Canis lupus familiaris: one gene and its partners. The protein of the gene in region 2 purifies or fractionates together with the protein of the main gene of each other region. This does not show direct contact. Links are inferred from orthologs where the notes say so. Each region holds a gene or a part of one and is shown on either strand. Other genes may lie near its edges.

Evidence for each region.
Region 1: the proteins of GSK3B (region 2) and YAP1 purify together in Homo sapiens (affinity purification with western blotting; 3 studies listed by BioGRID and IntAct, with this or other methods). This does not show direct contact. The link is inferred for Canis lupus familiaris from reciprocal best matches to the Homo sapiens genes GSK3B and YAP1.
Region 3: the proteins of GSK3B (region 2) and PRKAR1A purify together in Homo sapiens (affinity purification with mass spectrometry; 3 studies listed by BioGRID and IntAct, with this or other methods). This does not show direct contact. The link is inferred for Canis lupus familiaris from reciprocal best matches to the Homo sapiens genes GSK3B and PRKAR1A.
Region 4: the proteins of GSK3B (region 2) and PRUNE1 purify together in Homo sapiens (affinity purification with mass spectrometry; 5 studies listed by BioGRID and IntAct, with this or other methods). This does not show direct contact. The link is inferred for Canis lupus familiaris from reciprocal best matches to the Homo sapiens genes GSK3B and PRUNE1.

What each region holds. Positions count from the first base shown.
Region 1 is NC_049226.1:29,541,054-29,544,553, forward strand, and holds part of YAP1 (transcriptional coactivator YAP1), read right to left. Parts: intron 772-3,500; coding exon 641-771; intron 1-640. UniProt on the Homo sapiens protein: Transcriptional regulator with dual roles as a coactivator and corepressor. Critical downstream regulatory target in the Hippo signaling pathway, crucial for organ size control and tumor suppression by restricting proliferation and promoting apoptosis.
Region 2 is NC_049254.1:24,131,286-24,134,785, reverse strand, and holds part of GSK3B (glycogen synthase kinase-3 beta), read left to right. Parts: intron 1-953; coding exon 954-1,140; intron 1,141-3,500. UniProt on the Homo sapiens protein: Constitutively active protein kinase that acts as a negative regulator in the hormonal control of glucose homeostasis, Wnt signaling and regulation of transcription factors and microtubules, by phosphorylating and inactivating glycogen synthase (GYS1 or GYS2), EIF2B, CTNNB1/beta-catenin, APC, AXIN1, DPYSL2/CRMP2, JUN, NFATC1/NFATC, MAPT/TAU and MACF1.
Region 3 is NC_049230.1:11,735,377-11,738,876, reverse strand, and holds part of PRKAR1A (cAMP-dependent protein kinase type I-alpha regulatory subunit), read left to right. Parts: intron 1-2,563; coding exon 2,564-2,734; intron 2,735-3,500. UniProt on the Homo sapiens protein: Regulatory subunit of the cAMP-dependent protein kinases involved in cAMP signaling in cells.
Region 4 is NC_049238.1:60,769,075-60,772,574, forward strand, and holds part of PRUNE1 (exopolyphosphatase PRUNE1), read left to right. Parts: intron 1-1,303; coding exon 1,304-1,396; intron 1,397-2,115; coding exon 2,116-2,318; intron 2,319-3,500. UniProt on the Homo sapiens protein: Phosphodiesterase (PDE) that has higher activity toward cAMP than cGMP, as substrate. Plays a role in cell proliferation, migration and differentiation, and acts as a negative regulator of NME1. Plays a role in the regulation of neurogenesis.

The sequences.
Region 1 (3,500 bases), on a different chromosome or scaffold from region 2:
TTTTTAAAGGTGCATTGTTTAAAACTAGTTAAAAAAAATCCGAAAACCAAAAAGTACAGACAAGAAAGTATTTGTTCCATATGTTAACAAACTGAAACTCCATGAACATTTTACAACCTAAACGGATGAATGGTCATCAAACCTAGGAGTAGGACCTGTGGGTGAGCAGCTTTCACCACAGCTCCATGAGGCCACTGAAGAGTACCTGCAAGCCCCTGCCTGTTGTGCAGTGTGTCTACAGGAGGCACCACCGTACATTTCACGTCCTTAAGCTACAGTCCTTAAAAACATGTGGCCTTCAGGAGCTGCTGCAGGAAGACCAGGTCCCACATCACTGGGGCTGCTCCAGAGGACGACCCCCTTGCATGCCTTCCTTCACGACTCTGCCACATTACATCACTGCGCTGCTTCACAGCGCAGGCAGAAGCAAACACATGACTGGGAACAAGTCCCCCATAAGTCCCCATGGCCCAGGTCCTCCCACAGGAGCCAGCTTCGAATGCTGGAGCTTCACAGGGTTTGTCATGGGTGAGGGTCATTCACAGTGCAGTGCCTGGCCCCCAAGGGTACTTACTTACTCATGGGGTCAGGACCAGCCCCAAGGGGACGCCCGTGAAAGCCACAAGCAGCTCTCACCCACCTGTTGAGAAAGGGATCCGAGCCACTGGTCGTCATCGTCCTCAGTTCCTGAGACATCCCGGGGGAAGGCACTGGATTGGGAGTCCCGCCATCCTGCTCCAGTGTTGGTAACTGGCTACGAAGAGCTAGTTCCTAGAAAAAACAAACAGCAACATGGTCAGTCTACTGCTAACAAACTCTTCATTCAATTTAAAGAAATAAAATGCACATGACCGTGCCAGGTACAGAGTTCAGGTGTTAAACTCTGGTCAAAACTAATAGGTTACCCGGTCAGAAACACCAAGTTCTTTTGCACTTAAGTCACATAAATTCAAAGTCTATCTTGTCTTACAAACCCCTGAACAGATACACAGGATTCCCTAAATTCATTTTGTTATTTCTCTTACTTTGGCAGACCCTCCCAAACCTGTCCTATGGGAAAGGATGGGAAGTGTGGTCTTTCAAAAAAGAATGCCTCTTATAGTTTCTCTCTACTCACCAACCCTCAGCTGATTTTTTGTTCGGCACCAAGGAGTCAAGGCAAAGTCGGAAAAACCACACCAGGTGATAAGCGATAACCACACCAGTGCCCCTGGCTGTCCGGTGTCTGCACCTGACCTCACACTCCTCCATCCCCAGCTGTGCTCAGAGCCATCCAACGTATCCTCAGCAGGACTCTACCTGGATTGCTCAGCAAAGACCATGGGTCACTACCACCCAAATGGCTCTAAAGGGCCTGTCCCAATGGCCCAGACCTCAGTCTCAAATGTGTCCAGGACCTGGAAGCTACATCACCTCATCCGGCCATCCTGACATTGTCCTCGCTCACCTTTCTCATCCACCCAGGCACCCCAACAGCTCCTGCCGTGCCTCTCACACTCCCATTAACCTCTTGTTTGTGGGAGCACAGGCTCCCTTCTCCCTTGGCTTTTCTGATTTGACTAGAAATGTGGCTTTTTATTGCTAAGGACACTGCCTGGCTGTTCAGGAAGGCACACCTGAGGCACCCCGACTCCTAAACCATCAATTCCGCCTCGTGCAGAAAACACTGCTTTTCACTCAGCTTTAGGCCTGCTGAATACACCGTCCTTTACACTGGGGTTTCTTAACTGGAGGATCATGACAGAATGCAGAGGGTCTATGAATTTGGGTGAAGAAAATTCACTTTTATTTTTACTAACTTGTAACTGAAATTCAGCATTCTCTTCAAACACAGATGACAACACTTGTATTTGTCATCCTCTTACTTTGCATCCATGGACAGCGTTTTCATATCCTACTGTAGTTGCAAATTATCTTAAAATACCATTTATGCTCATTACCATTTCAATAGTACAAAAGTTGTAAGACATGCTGTTAGAGCTTGTTATTTACAGATTAATTACTAGGTCACATGGCAGCTCCTCGACCACCTGGATCTCAAGGACCTTCACCTCCACCTATCCGAATCACCCGCTTGCTTGGCTGAGACCATGGGACTTAAGTCTGCAGGCCTGCCTGGGATGAAGACCGGCGTGTCACCTCCCTGAACCGTGTGCACCACAATCACTATCAGTGCATCAAGCTTATGGAACAATCTACCCCTGAGGGTCCTGCATCTCCGGCAACTCTGGAATGGGTGTAGCGATTTCACCCCCAAGAACTCTTGCACACACTCACCCTGCTTTCTCCTCCCACCCAGCTCCTGCATGACCTCAATCCCACTCCATCTGCCCTCCAGCCTCAGGGACTCTACTTCATCTCTTACGATTCCAGTCGACTGGCTCTCTTTTTTTCCCATTAAAAAAATAAAATAGTGGTTTAAGTGACATACAACATTGCATCAGTTTTAAGTATACAATGCAAGGATTTGGTATTAGTACACGCTGTGAAATGACCATAGCAATCCTCTGTCTAGCTACCATCCATCACAACACAGAGTTACAAAAAGTCTTTTCTTCGAATGAAGATTTTTAACATTTATTCTCTTAACAACTTTTAAATATGTACTTATTATGCAGTATTATTAACTATAGCTAATAATTATAATCATTAACTATAGTCACCATGCTGTATAAAGTATGAACCTTTTGACCCCCTGGCAACCACCAATCTGTTCATTTTCTGTAAATTTGGTTGTTTTTTTTCCTTCAATTCCACTTATGAAGTAAGATCACATAGTATTTGCCTTTCTCTGACTTATCTCACTGGGCATAATGCCCTATATGTTCATCCATGTTGTCACAAATGGCAAGATATACACATCTTTATCGACTCAATTGTTGATGGACGCTTAAGTTGGTTAAGTGATTGACAGCTGAATGGACACTGAGGTTTGCTCCACAACTTTGTTATTGTACAAAATGCTGCAGTGAACAGAGGGGTGCATGTATCTTTTTGAATTAGTGGTTTTTGTTGTTGTTGTTGTTGTTTTCAGAGAAATACCCAGAGGTGGAATTGGAAGATAGATTATAGGGTATTTTTATATTTAGCTTTCTGAGGAACCTCCATACTATTCTCCAGAGTGGCTGCACCAGTTTGCATTCCCACCAACAGTGCATGAAGGTTCCTCTTTCTTCAAATTCTCGCTGACCCCTGCTGTTTCCTGTGTTGTTGATTTGGGCCATTCTGACAGGTGGTATCTCATCATGGGTTTCTTTTATAGGATTTTATTTATTTGAGAGAGATTGAGTATGAGGAGGAAAATGGAAAGGCAGAGGAAGAAGCAGACTCTCTGCGCAGGGAGCCTGGACACCAGGCTCCATCCCAGGACCCCAAGATCATGACCTGAGCCACCCAGGTGCCCTGGTTATGGTTTTGATTTCTGTTTCCTTCATGGGCCAATTCCTGGTTCTTTTTCTCCTTCCCCATGAGCTTGAATTCTGAGCCAATCATGTAAAATA
Region 2 (3,500 bases):
GGAATATGTTTCATTTTTCTTTAGTTTCAAAGGCTTTCTGTCCATCTGTTTATGTTTATTTGTTTTTCCCCTTTCTGATTCTATTCTTCAACTGTCTATAATTTAGAGCAAAGCTATTTTCATAGTTCTGTGTATTGATTTGGAGTTTTAAGGTAAAGATGTGTAGAAAGCTTTCTATTCTTTTAAGCAAACTAATTTATTTGAATTTTGCTTCAGCACAGCCTTCAGTTGACTTTTTCTAGAGTTAATGGCTCTTAATGAAAAGTACATTTCTCTCTCCCTAATTAAAACCCTAGAATATTCATCCAAATGAGGGTAATCTGACCATATTTGTAATAACAGCTACTCTTTGAGAAAACAGTTTTGGACATTTTGTCAAATTCTGGGTATTCAAGAATTTCTTCAAATAAGACTGTTTATTGAAGAGATAATAGCAGATCATTAGCATTGCTAAAGCTAAAGTAAATAGCTTTTTTCCCCAAAAAAATATTGATTGCCAAATTTGAGTAGTGCTGTCCATTACTGACAGTTGTTCTGCTAAAAATCACACACAAGAGGCAATCTTTTATTCTACTGCCACAGTAGTCAAAACTTTTAGAAAATTTTAATATTCTTCTAGTTGGTGCTTGCCTCCAGAACCCAGCCTTTCTTTGTGCCTATGATATCCTATTTTGTGTACATATTTCATTGTACTGCTTTATGATTAGCAAGTGTAGATTTTTTTTAATTTCCCCTAGTTTTTTCTCTGAGTTTTCCTCATATAGTTTGTAATTAGCTGTTCACCTCAATGTAGTGAATCATATGCAGTTAACTCTTTTCATTCTAGAAGGTTCCTCTCACAAATGCAACCATGTTGTTGTACGTGGTGGGAATTAACTCAGTACTCAAAGGATAATTTGCTAAGATTCTTACAATAAAGCATTAATTGTTCTTTACCTTTTTTTGTACTGCAGGTCTTCCGACCCCGGACTCCACCGGAGGCAATTGCACTGTGTAGCCGTCTGCTGGAGTATACACCAACTGCCCGATTGACACCACTGGAAGCTTGTGCACATTCATTTTTTGATGAATTAAGGGACCCAAATGTCAAACTACCAAATGGGCGAGACACACCTGCACTCTTCAACTTCACCACTCAAGGTAATTCCAGATACTTAGTTCTGTTTTTTACCATTTCTGAGAAAGCTACCTATCTGTGTGAGGTTATATTCTTTTAATTAAAATCTGTAGGACGAAAGTGGGCATATTAAGTACTTATACAGGTAGCAAACATCCCTTCCAACAACTGATTAGGCTACTACTTGTATGGTTTTAAACAAAATAGTGGCAGATAAAATTTTTTCCAGTAGACATAGCTTCTCTCATTTTTGGCAGATTATAATAAATCTTGGCACATGAGAAGTTATAGAGATTTCACTATTAAGTTAACCCTCAAGTTTGTATTTGAGACTAGAATTTTAGCATTTCTTACTTCCCAAGTGTTTATTTTTTTCCAAGTGTTTATATTAAGTTTTTTAAACCTGGAAATCAATTGGTGAAATTGGTGGTGACTGTATTTGTATAAAGTCAGATATCTTACTTATAAACAGAAGGAAACAATGGAATTCTATATAACTGTCTTTCTTAGAACTTGTATAAGAGATGTAGATAGAGAAATTCTCTTCCCTTGTGGAGCTTGGCACCATGGCTGCTTCTGAGAAAATACTGAGAGGAAAAAACAGAGTTTGTGTACTGGTGCTTTCTAAAAGACCCAGGAAGAATCATTGTTTCTTAATTACTTCTGTGTTCACTTTTCTTTCCTTTCAGATTAAGACCCTAAGTAATTCATTTAATCAACTACACTGCCTTCGATGCTGTGATTTTCTTCATAAACTGCACATTAAAAGTGTACAATTTCCTATAGATAAAACAAGCAAGAAGTGGTCAATTGATTGATTGGTCAGCTTAGTCAAGCTTAAAATATAGAAGGGAGATGGAAAGCTCTCTGTGACCAGGAAATAATTATATTTCCTTTATTCTAAGATGAATTCCCCCCCCCCCCCATATTTAAACTTTTCTAAATTTGAAAGTGGGAAAATGTATTGCTTAAGCAGTAGATGTGGAAGACCTCAGTTACTGGCAAAATAGACTTGGATGATTCCATTGACTATAATCTTAAGCAGTCAATAATGTGTAACTACTAGTAGTGCTGATACAGTCTGAAACTACATTCATAAAGGAAAAAATGTTCAGATATCCTGGGATTAATTCTGACTGTTTAGGGCTGATCAGAAATCACTGGAGTGTTGTTTTAGGTCCCAGCTATACCATTTTAAGATGTTATCAAATAGCAGGTGGGGTATGTAAAGGAACAGAATTCCACTTCCTGGAAAAGTGAAGACTTAAGGAACTTTTGAGAATGATGTAAAAATACCTCATAGATTATCTTCTGAAGAAAGATGTAGACCTGTATTCTTTCTCCTGATTATAAAATTGAAAATAGTAGTAGCAAAAAAATTAGAGAATAGTACATATTTGAGTTTATGATATCAGCCCCTGGCATAGATAGAGACTAAATAAAATTATTGATGAATCAGTAAAGTTTTCACTTATTTAACAGTGGAACAGGTTTCTTTGTTGTGCTTTTTATTTGTTGTTTTTTGTGTGTGTGGTTTTGTTTTTGTTGTTTGTTGTTCCCCACTCCATCCTACCACCATCCCCAAATACCAGTCTCTGTATTAGGAAAAAGCTGGATGATGTCAAATGTTATAGATAAGATTACTCCAATTTGGTAATACGTTAGACTCTTCTAGAGCAGATTCTGTGACTCTGTCATTAAAAAATTTTTTTTATTTTCAGTTTTTACTGTTTTGTCTTAAGAGTAGCACTATATATATTAAAGAAAATGTTGAAGATGCAAAAGAAGTATAGAGAACATTAAAATCACAATCCCCAAATGATCACTTTTAGCTTTTGAATTAATCACTGTAATATTTTATAGTCTAGCTCTTTTCAGTCTTTAATATATACTATGATAATCCATGAATATAAAGTGATACTCTACTCTCCCATTAAGAAGATACCAAAAGAAAAAGAAAAAAAAAAAAAAAGATCCCAAAAGGGTTTCTTGGGTTAACTCAAATGTATTTAAAATAATGAAAAAATAAATAAAATTATGCATTATATAAAATTAATATTCAGGAACTTTTTAACCTCAAATTTCATAAAACAATTTTATTAATACTTTTTATATGCATCTTTTACACCTGTTTCTTTCTCATCAGTAGAGCTATTTTTAAATTTTTTGATATGAAGCACCTTTTGAATCTATATGAAGCCACTACTGGAAATTCTACAAGTATCCATTTTCATAAATGTTTGGTTTGGGGTCTTTCTTTGTACTATAAGTATCTTTATTATCTGCACATAGAACTATCTGCTAGGTTGCTTTTTAAAGTGGCCTCTAAAAGGCTATGTATACAGTGACATGCAACACTTGTAACTGTGGAATCTTGGCATCA
Region 3 (3,500 bases), on a different chromosome or scaffold from region 2:
ATGAAACGAAGTTAAAAATCAAAATGCTTTCGGTACTTAAAAATTATCTTAAAAATTCATTTAGATACAGTTTCAAGTGAGATGTTATTTGTGTAATTTTTCATGAAATTTTTATGAAAGGTCAATTACAGATTTTTGGGGGTAGAATGTTTTTATTTATGGTCTTAAACTAAATTTGGGGAAACTTGAGTTTTACAGTTCTGTATTAGTATGAAATGGGAAAAGCTTACTGGTCATTGGAATTACTAGAATGAAAATGAAGTGAGTTTTCTGGAAAATATATTTTTAAAAAATTGGTTGCATATTTGCATATGTTTCAAAATTTTACAGGCACAAAAGGGTGTGACATAATAAAATACAATGAAATACAGTACATTTTATACAAACATGGGGGCAATATAGCATATAATATATAAAATATATTTTATATATGTAAGAATGTATGATAATAGTATATAAAGATATTTTAAAAAATCTCCTTCCCACGCTGTTGTCTTCCTTGAATGCAGTGAGTTTTCCATAGATAAGATATAGGTATTTACCTACAAATTCATTTATAAAAGAGCTTCTTATTTTCCAACAGGTGCATGGTATTGTACTGTATGGCTAGATACAATAGATAGTTTAATCATTCCGTCGAGGGCCATTTTATTTGTTTCCACTGTTTTATTACTGTTCTAAACAATAATTTTGTATATATTACAAGATTTTGTATGTTCTATCCCATATATACATATCTTAGAATAAATTCCCTGAAGTAGGATTATTGGATTATTTGGTTAAGAAGTAAATCCATTTGTAATTCAGTAGACAAATATATTAAAATTGTTTTTGTTATATGTTTTTCTTACTTGAAAGTTAGACAGTCCAGAGAAATGAGAAAAATAAAGCCAAACTTTCCCTCTGGAAAAGGCTATCAAGCATGATTCTACTAATAGAAATGAATGCTGATGGTTATCATTCTAGACTTCGTTGCTGCATATATAAGTTCTTTTATTTGTCTTGATGCCAAAAGCAGGGCTAAATACGAGGCAGTAGAAAGAGCAGGTATCTCCTTAATTTCTTTTATTTTTTTATTTTTATTTTTTTTAAAATTTTTATTTATTTATGATAGTCACAGAGAGAGAGAGAGGCGCAGAGACACAGGCAGAGGGAGAAGCAGGCTCCATGCACTGGGAGCCCGACGTGGGATTCAATCCCGGGTCTCCAGGATCGCACCTTGGGCCAAAGGCAGGCGCCAAACCGCTGCGCCACCCAGGGATCCCCTTAATTTCTTTTATTATTGTTAATTTTTTGTTAAGATTATCTATTTGAGAAAGAGAGAGCACGTGCGCATGCACGCATGACAGTGCCAGAGAGCCAAGGGGAGGGGCAGAGGCAGAGGAAGAGGGAGAGGGGAAGCAAACTCCCTGCTGAGCAGGGAGCCGAGACTCAACCTCACAACCTTGAGATCATGACCTGAGCCAAAACCAGGAGTCTGACACTTAACTGAGCACCCAGGCACCTTTCTTTTAATTTAAAAGAAACTAAAAATTTCTTGTTTATCAAAAATTTTTCTGAAATTATCAGTAAATGCTAATAAGTTCATTTAGAATTTGAAAGACGGTTTAGAAAAATACTGGAAATGAGTCAGATGAATGAGAACATAGTAGAGAACACATTCTTATTTTATGTCAGGCTTAGTAACTCATTCTTTACTGCAGAGCTAATTCTTCTTAAGCCCTGGATCTGAAAAATAAGAGTGTTAAAGAGTTTGTCTCCATTTTTATATGAATTGATTTAATGAGTTTTTAAAAACCGGTAAATGTTCTTGGTTTTAATCTTGGTGTAAACCCTGATAATAAAGAAGGCTTCTAAGCTCTGTTGGTAAAAGTATTGTTAGATCTGATTTTATTTAAATTCTTGGTTACCATCACATCATTTTTTGTTATTTGTTTCTATCTGAGTCTCCAGCTCTAAGAATATGAATTCCACAGGCTTAGGACACTCCTATTGGTTTTGATACTGTCTTTTCCTAGCATGAACTTGACATGGCAGATCTAGAGAGAACACTTAATTAATTAATTAAATCAGTGACCAGATACCATTCTTGTATCACTTTGCTGTGCCTGAGTGGTTATTTCTAGGTAACATTCTTTTGATGTGTGTATCTATGTGTGTTGGAGGGGGTCTTCGTGCTTCATGCTATCTGTAGCAGTATACAAAAACTCTAATTCTCCAGGATTTTGTTTTGCAGTTTTATTAGTTGTGTGCATTACAAAGCATTGTTGTCAATATATTACGGTAATGAGTAATTTTTTATCTGCATCGTATGTCTCTTTGTATTAATGGCTTTTGTTTATTACTAAGTATAGTATCTATAATCAGTTGAGGAAACAGAGTGCTTTCAGAGTATTTCTTTTCAGACTTGACTCTACTTTTTTGCATTTGGAATTGGCCTTTCCCCCCTTCACATTGGTAATAGAGGAAGAGATTTGAAGTGGAGATTGGTTCTCACTGGGATAGGAGAATACCAAATCTACCTCTGAAGGATCTCATTTTATAAACTGGTAATTTTTTTCAGGAGGAGGCAAAACAGATTCAGAATCTGCAGAAAGCAAGCTCCCGTGCAGATTCGAGGGAGGATGAAATCTCTCCTCCTCCACCCAACCCAGTGGTTAAGGGCCGGAGGCGACGAGGTGCTATCAGTGCCGAAGTCTACACGGAGGAGGATGCTGCATCATATGTTAGAAAGGTAATCTTGCTACCTGCGCGCTGTGGAGATGTTTTCAGGACCCACGTGGTGCTCAGCTAGCCTCCATTGATGAACGCATGCACTGTAAAACACAGGACGGAGTAAAACACAGGACGGAGTAAAACACAGGACGGACTGTACTTCATCCTGTATAGTTCTTGGGGGCTGGGGAACTGGTTTCTGTAATAACGTGCCATCAGAAGAAATAACAGTGAATAATTGTATTTGGGGGGACTTCTTTTCCATGTTGTTTTGCAGTAGAAGAGGCATGAGTACTCTTTTTTTTTTCTTTGAATCATGGTTGGTTTTTTGATATCCTATAATTTGTGTTGTGACTTTTAACCTCTGGTCCTATAAGCTTCGTTCATCCTTTTGACTTCCTAAGAACCTCCCTGCCATTTTGAGTTAAACTTTTAGCCTGAACAGGGAAGAGAATTATCCTGGCAAGAGGCTTATGAATTTAATAGTACATGATCACAATTTAAAAAAAAAATGAAAAAAAAAATTACTTAATTCTCATAAAATGCTTACTTTTGCCTCAGAATAATGACCTTGGTCAAGGTGTTAATGGTTTAGTTCTTCAGTTGTTGACTAGAAACCAGATATCAGCATTTAAATACAGGCTTGGTTGTAGGCAAGGGGATTAATTAGTCAATATTTATTGAGTACTTTGTAGATCAAAGATATTATAAATATGTTGTGTTAAATACTTAAGGCAAAGCAGTCTAGTTTAAATCCTGTAATGTGTCTTGACATTTAATTGAAA
Region 4 (3,500 bases), on a different chromosome or scaffold from region 2:
GTGGAGCATGCAATTTTTGATCTCAGGCTCGTGAATTCGAGCCCCACATTTGATGTAGAGATTACTTTAAAAATAATAATGAATTATAAAACTAAGCTATAAAAATAAAAGTTCCAGCAGCAGCAACTGTTCTTGTTTTAATCTGAACCTGCTGGGGAGAGTGTCCAAGCCTGGGTAGTAAGAGTTGGTTATATTTGGTTATTATTGAGGCTCCTCTGGGCTGGAGGAGTTTTCATGGACTGGATAACTGGATCATGGACTAAATTTTATTTTTACCTTTTTTTTTTTTTAAGATTTTATTTATTCATGAGAGACATACAGAGAGAGGCAGGCAGAGACATAGGCAGAGGGAGAAGGAGGCTCCATGCAGGGAGCCTGATGTGGGACTTGATCCTGGGACCATGGGATCATGCCCTGAGCCAAAGGCAGATGCTCAACTGCTGAGCCACCCAGGTGTCCCCCCCCACACACACCCTTTTTTTTTTTTTTAAGATTATTTATTTACTCAGAGACACACAGAGAGAGGCAGAGACCTAGCAGAGGGAGAAGCGGGCTCCCTGTGAGGAGCCCAACGTGGGACTTGATCCCAGGATCCTGGGATCACGACCTGAAGCGAAGGCAGATGCTCAACTGCTGAGCCACCAGGTGCCCCTTTACCTTTATTTTCAAGAGCTCTTCACCTCTCATGATTTAGAAGTATAAGGATGCTTTTCCCTATTTTGAAAACAGGGGAGCAAATAACCCCAAGAAACAGGTTGATCTGGTTTGAATATGTCAGCTACCCAGCTGCTCTATCTTTGATTTCTTGTGTGCCCAAAAAAGCATAAGAAGTGAGAGAATTATTTACTGCATTTCTTTTTTTTTTTAATAAAGATTTTATTTATTTATTTGAGAGAGAGAGAATGAGTATAGGGGAGGAGAGGTGAGAGGTAGGGAGAGAAGCAGGCTTCCTGTTGAGTGGGGAACCCAACACAGGGCTGATCCCAGGACCCTGAGATCATGACTTGAGCCGAAGACAGGTGCCCTGGGCCACGTAGGCACCCCTGCTGCTGTTTTATTTTAAGTTAACAATCAAGGAGACAGGTACTTTCTACTTACTGGATATGTGTGGAATGCTTAAACTTAGCTGAACACAGGGGGCCTTTCAGCTAATATCCTCACCTGTGAAATGAGTACCCATAAAATTATGTGACCTGCCTCCCCTGTGAAGATCAGTGAGAACGTGTGTGAAGCCCTGTTCAAGTATAAGGTAAACGGAAATAGATAAAGATGCCTTTGCTAGTGTCCCATTCTCCTTCACCAGGAGTCCCGGCCGCTGCATGTTGTGCTGGGAAATGAAGCCTGTGACTTGGACTCCATGGTGTCAGCGCTTGCCTTGGCTTTTTACCTAGCAAAGGTGAGTACTTAGCAGCAGAGTCCCTAGAATGAAAAGATCTGGGTCCAAGACCCAGCTCTGCTACTTGACACTATTTAGTCTTGGGTCAGTTAAATTCCTTAACTTTGCTGAGTGTCAGGTCACCATCTATAGAATCAGAAATGATACTATTTTGCAATGTTGCTGGGGGGATGAAATGAGTAGAAGTATTTTGAAGAATTTTTAAAAATATATGTTATTTATTTATTCATGAGAGACACAGAGAGAAGCAGAGACATAGGCAGAGGGAGAAGCAGGCTCCATGTAGGGAGCCCGATGTGTGACTCCATCCTGGGTCCAGGATCACGCCCTGGGCCAAAGGCAGACGTTCTACCGCTGAGCAACCCAGGCATCCCTATTTTGAAGAATTGAAGTCATAAAGCAATTCAAACAGTTTATTATTGAGTTCTTCTTGGGTACCAGCGATCTCATGCCCAGGTCAGCTCTTGAAGATGGATAATCCTTTCTCTGCTCATGGAAAAGAGCTAGGTCTTTTCCATGAGTTATCTTGTTGTCCTTGGTGTTATTCTAAGGTGAGAGGGCAAGAGATGTCCTTTTATTTTTTACCAATTGGGTAGTTGTGGCATTGAAAAAGGCAGCGACTTACCCAAGATCATATCTCCTTTGGTCCCAATAATCTTGTTACTTTTCCTATTTATTCCAAAACATTGGCCTGTGTTCTTTTCACTTTCCTTATCCAGACAACAGAGGCTGAGGAAGTCTTTGTGCCAGTTTTAAATATAAATCGTTCTGAGCTACCTCTACGAGGTGACAATGTCTTCTTCCTTCAGAAGATTCACATTCCAGAGTCCCTCTTGATTTTCCGGGATGAGATTGACCTCCACGCCTTGCACCAGGCTGGCCAACTCACCCTTATCCTTGTTGACCATCATGTCTTACCCAAGTAAGTAAAAGGAAGTTGAGCTGATACTTATCATGTGCTGTATTGAGCTCTGATGAGTAAGAAATAAAGAGAGGAAGAAAGAATTTCTGCTCTTGGGGATCTCACAAGCTAATTGTAATTGCTGGGTCATATGAGATACAGAAAATACTGTCAGTTCTCCAATTATGCAACTAACAAAAAGAAAGAGAAACATGGAAAGGTTAAACTAAAGGAAAACTCAGAAATCATTTAAATCTGCTTTTGGTATCATTATTTCATGGCAGACTTATTGGAATAGAAGCCTTTGAATAATTGTTGTAACTCTATTTTTGATTTTTAAAGGCAAAATTATTTCCTACGTAAGGCAGTATCTCATTAGTGTCATTGTGTTGAATGTTAGGTGTGTGATAACCAACACTCTAGAGGACAAGAGGTGCATAAAGGTTGGAGTAGTTAAATATACTTGAGGGGAGTGGAGGGTGTGAGGAAAGGTCTCCTGAGAGAGTTGACCCTTGATCTCACTCTTGAGTGTTGGCTCCTGGAGTGGGGAGGCAAGGTAGTTAGTTAGGAAGAGCATCTGGGCAGAGAGCAGAATTAATATAAGCAAAGTTAGGCAAGCATGAAATAACATGGTGAGTTGGGAGACCTGGAATTTGTTTTGCATGGCTGGAGCATAAAATGTGACAGAGAAGTAGGACATAGGAAGTGGTGAGACTAGAGAGGGGGTCAGATCCTGGAGACGCTATAGGCCCTGCCAAGGAGACTAGACTAAATTGTTAGGGTAGTGGGCAACTGTTGTGAGTTCTGTTTATTCTGGATCCTAACAATCAAATTTACATTTTCAGATGATCATTCAGCCACTTTGTGAAGGACAGCTTAGGGAAACTGAGAGTATATCTTTGGTTAGGAAACTGTTGGAATAATCCAGGTGAGAGATACTGAGGGCCTAGAATAAGGCAGTAGCAGAGGATTGGAAAGGTGGGGTTGGGTAGGGATTAAGATAGAAGCCATAGGATCTGGTGAACTGCATGGAATTTGGGCATTAAGTGGATTGAGATGACAGGAGAGATGTAGATGTTGAATGCCAAAGGTGTCAAATCAGAAAAGCAATTCCAAAGGACATCAAAGACGTGGGAAGATACTTGTAGCTGATACTTCACCAAGTTCACTTATATACTATTTGATGACTTCAGTTACAACATG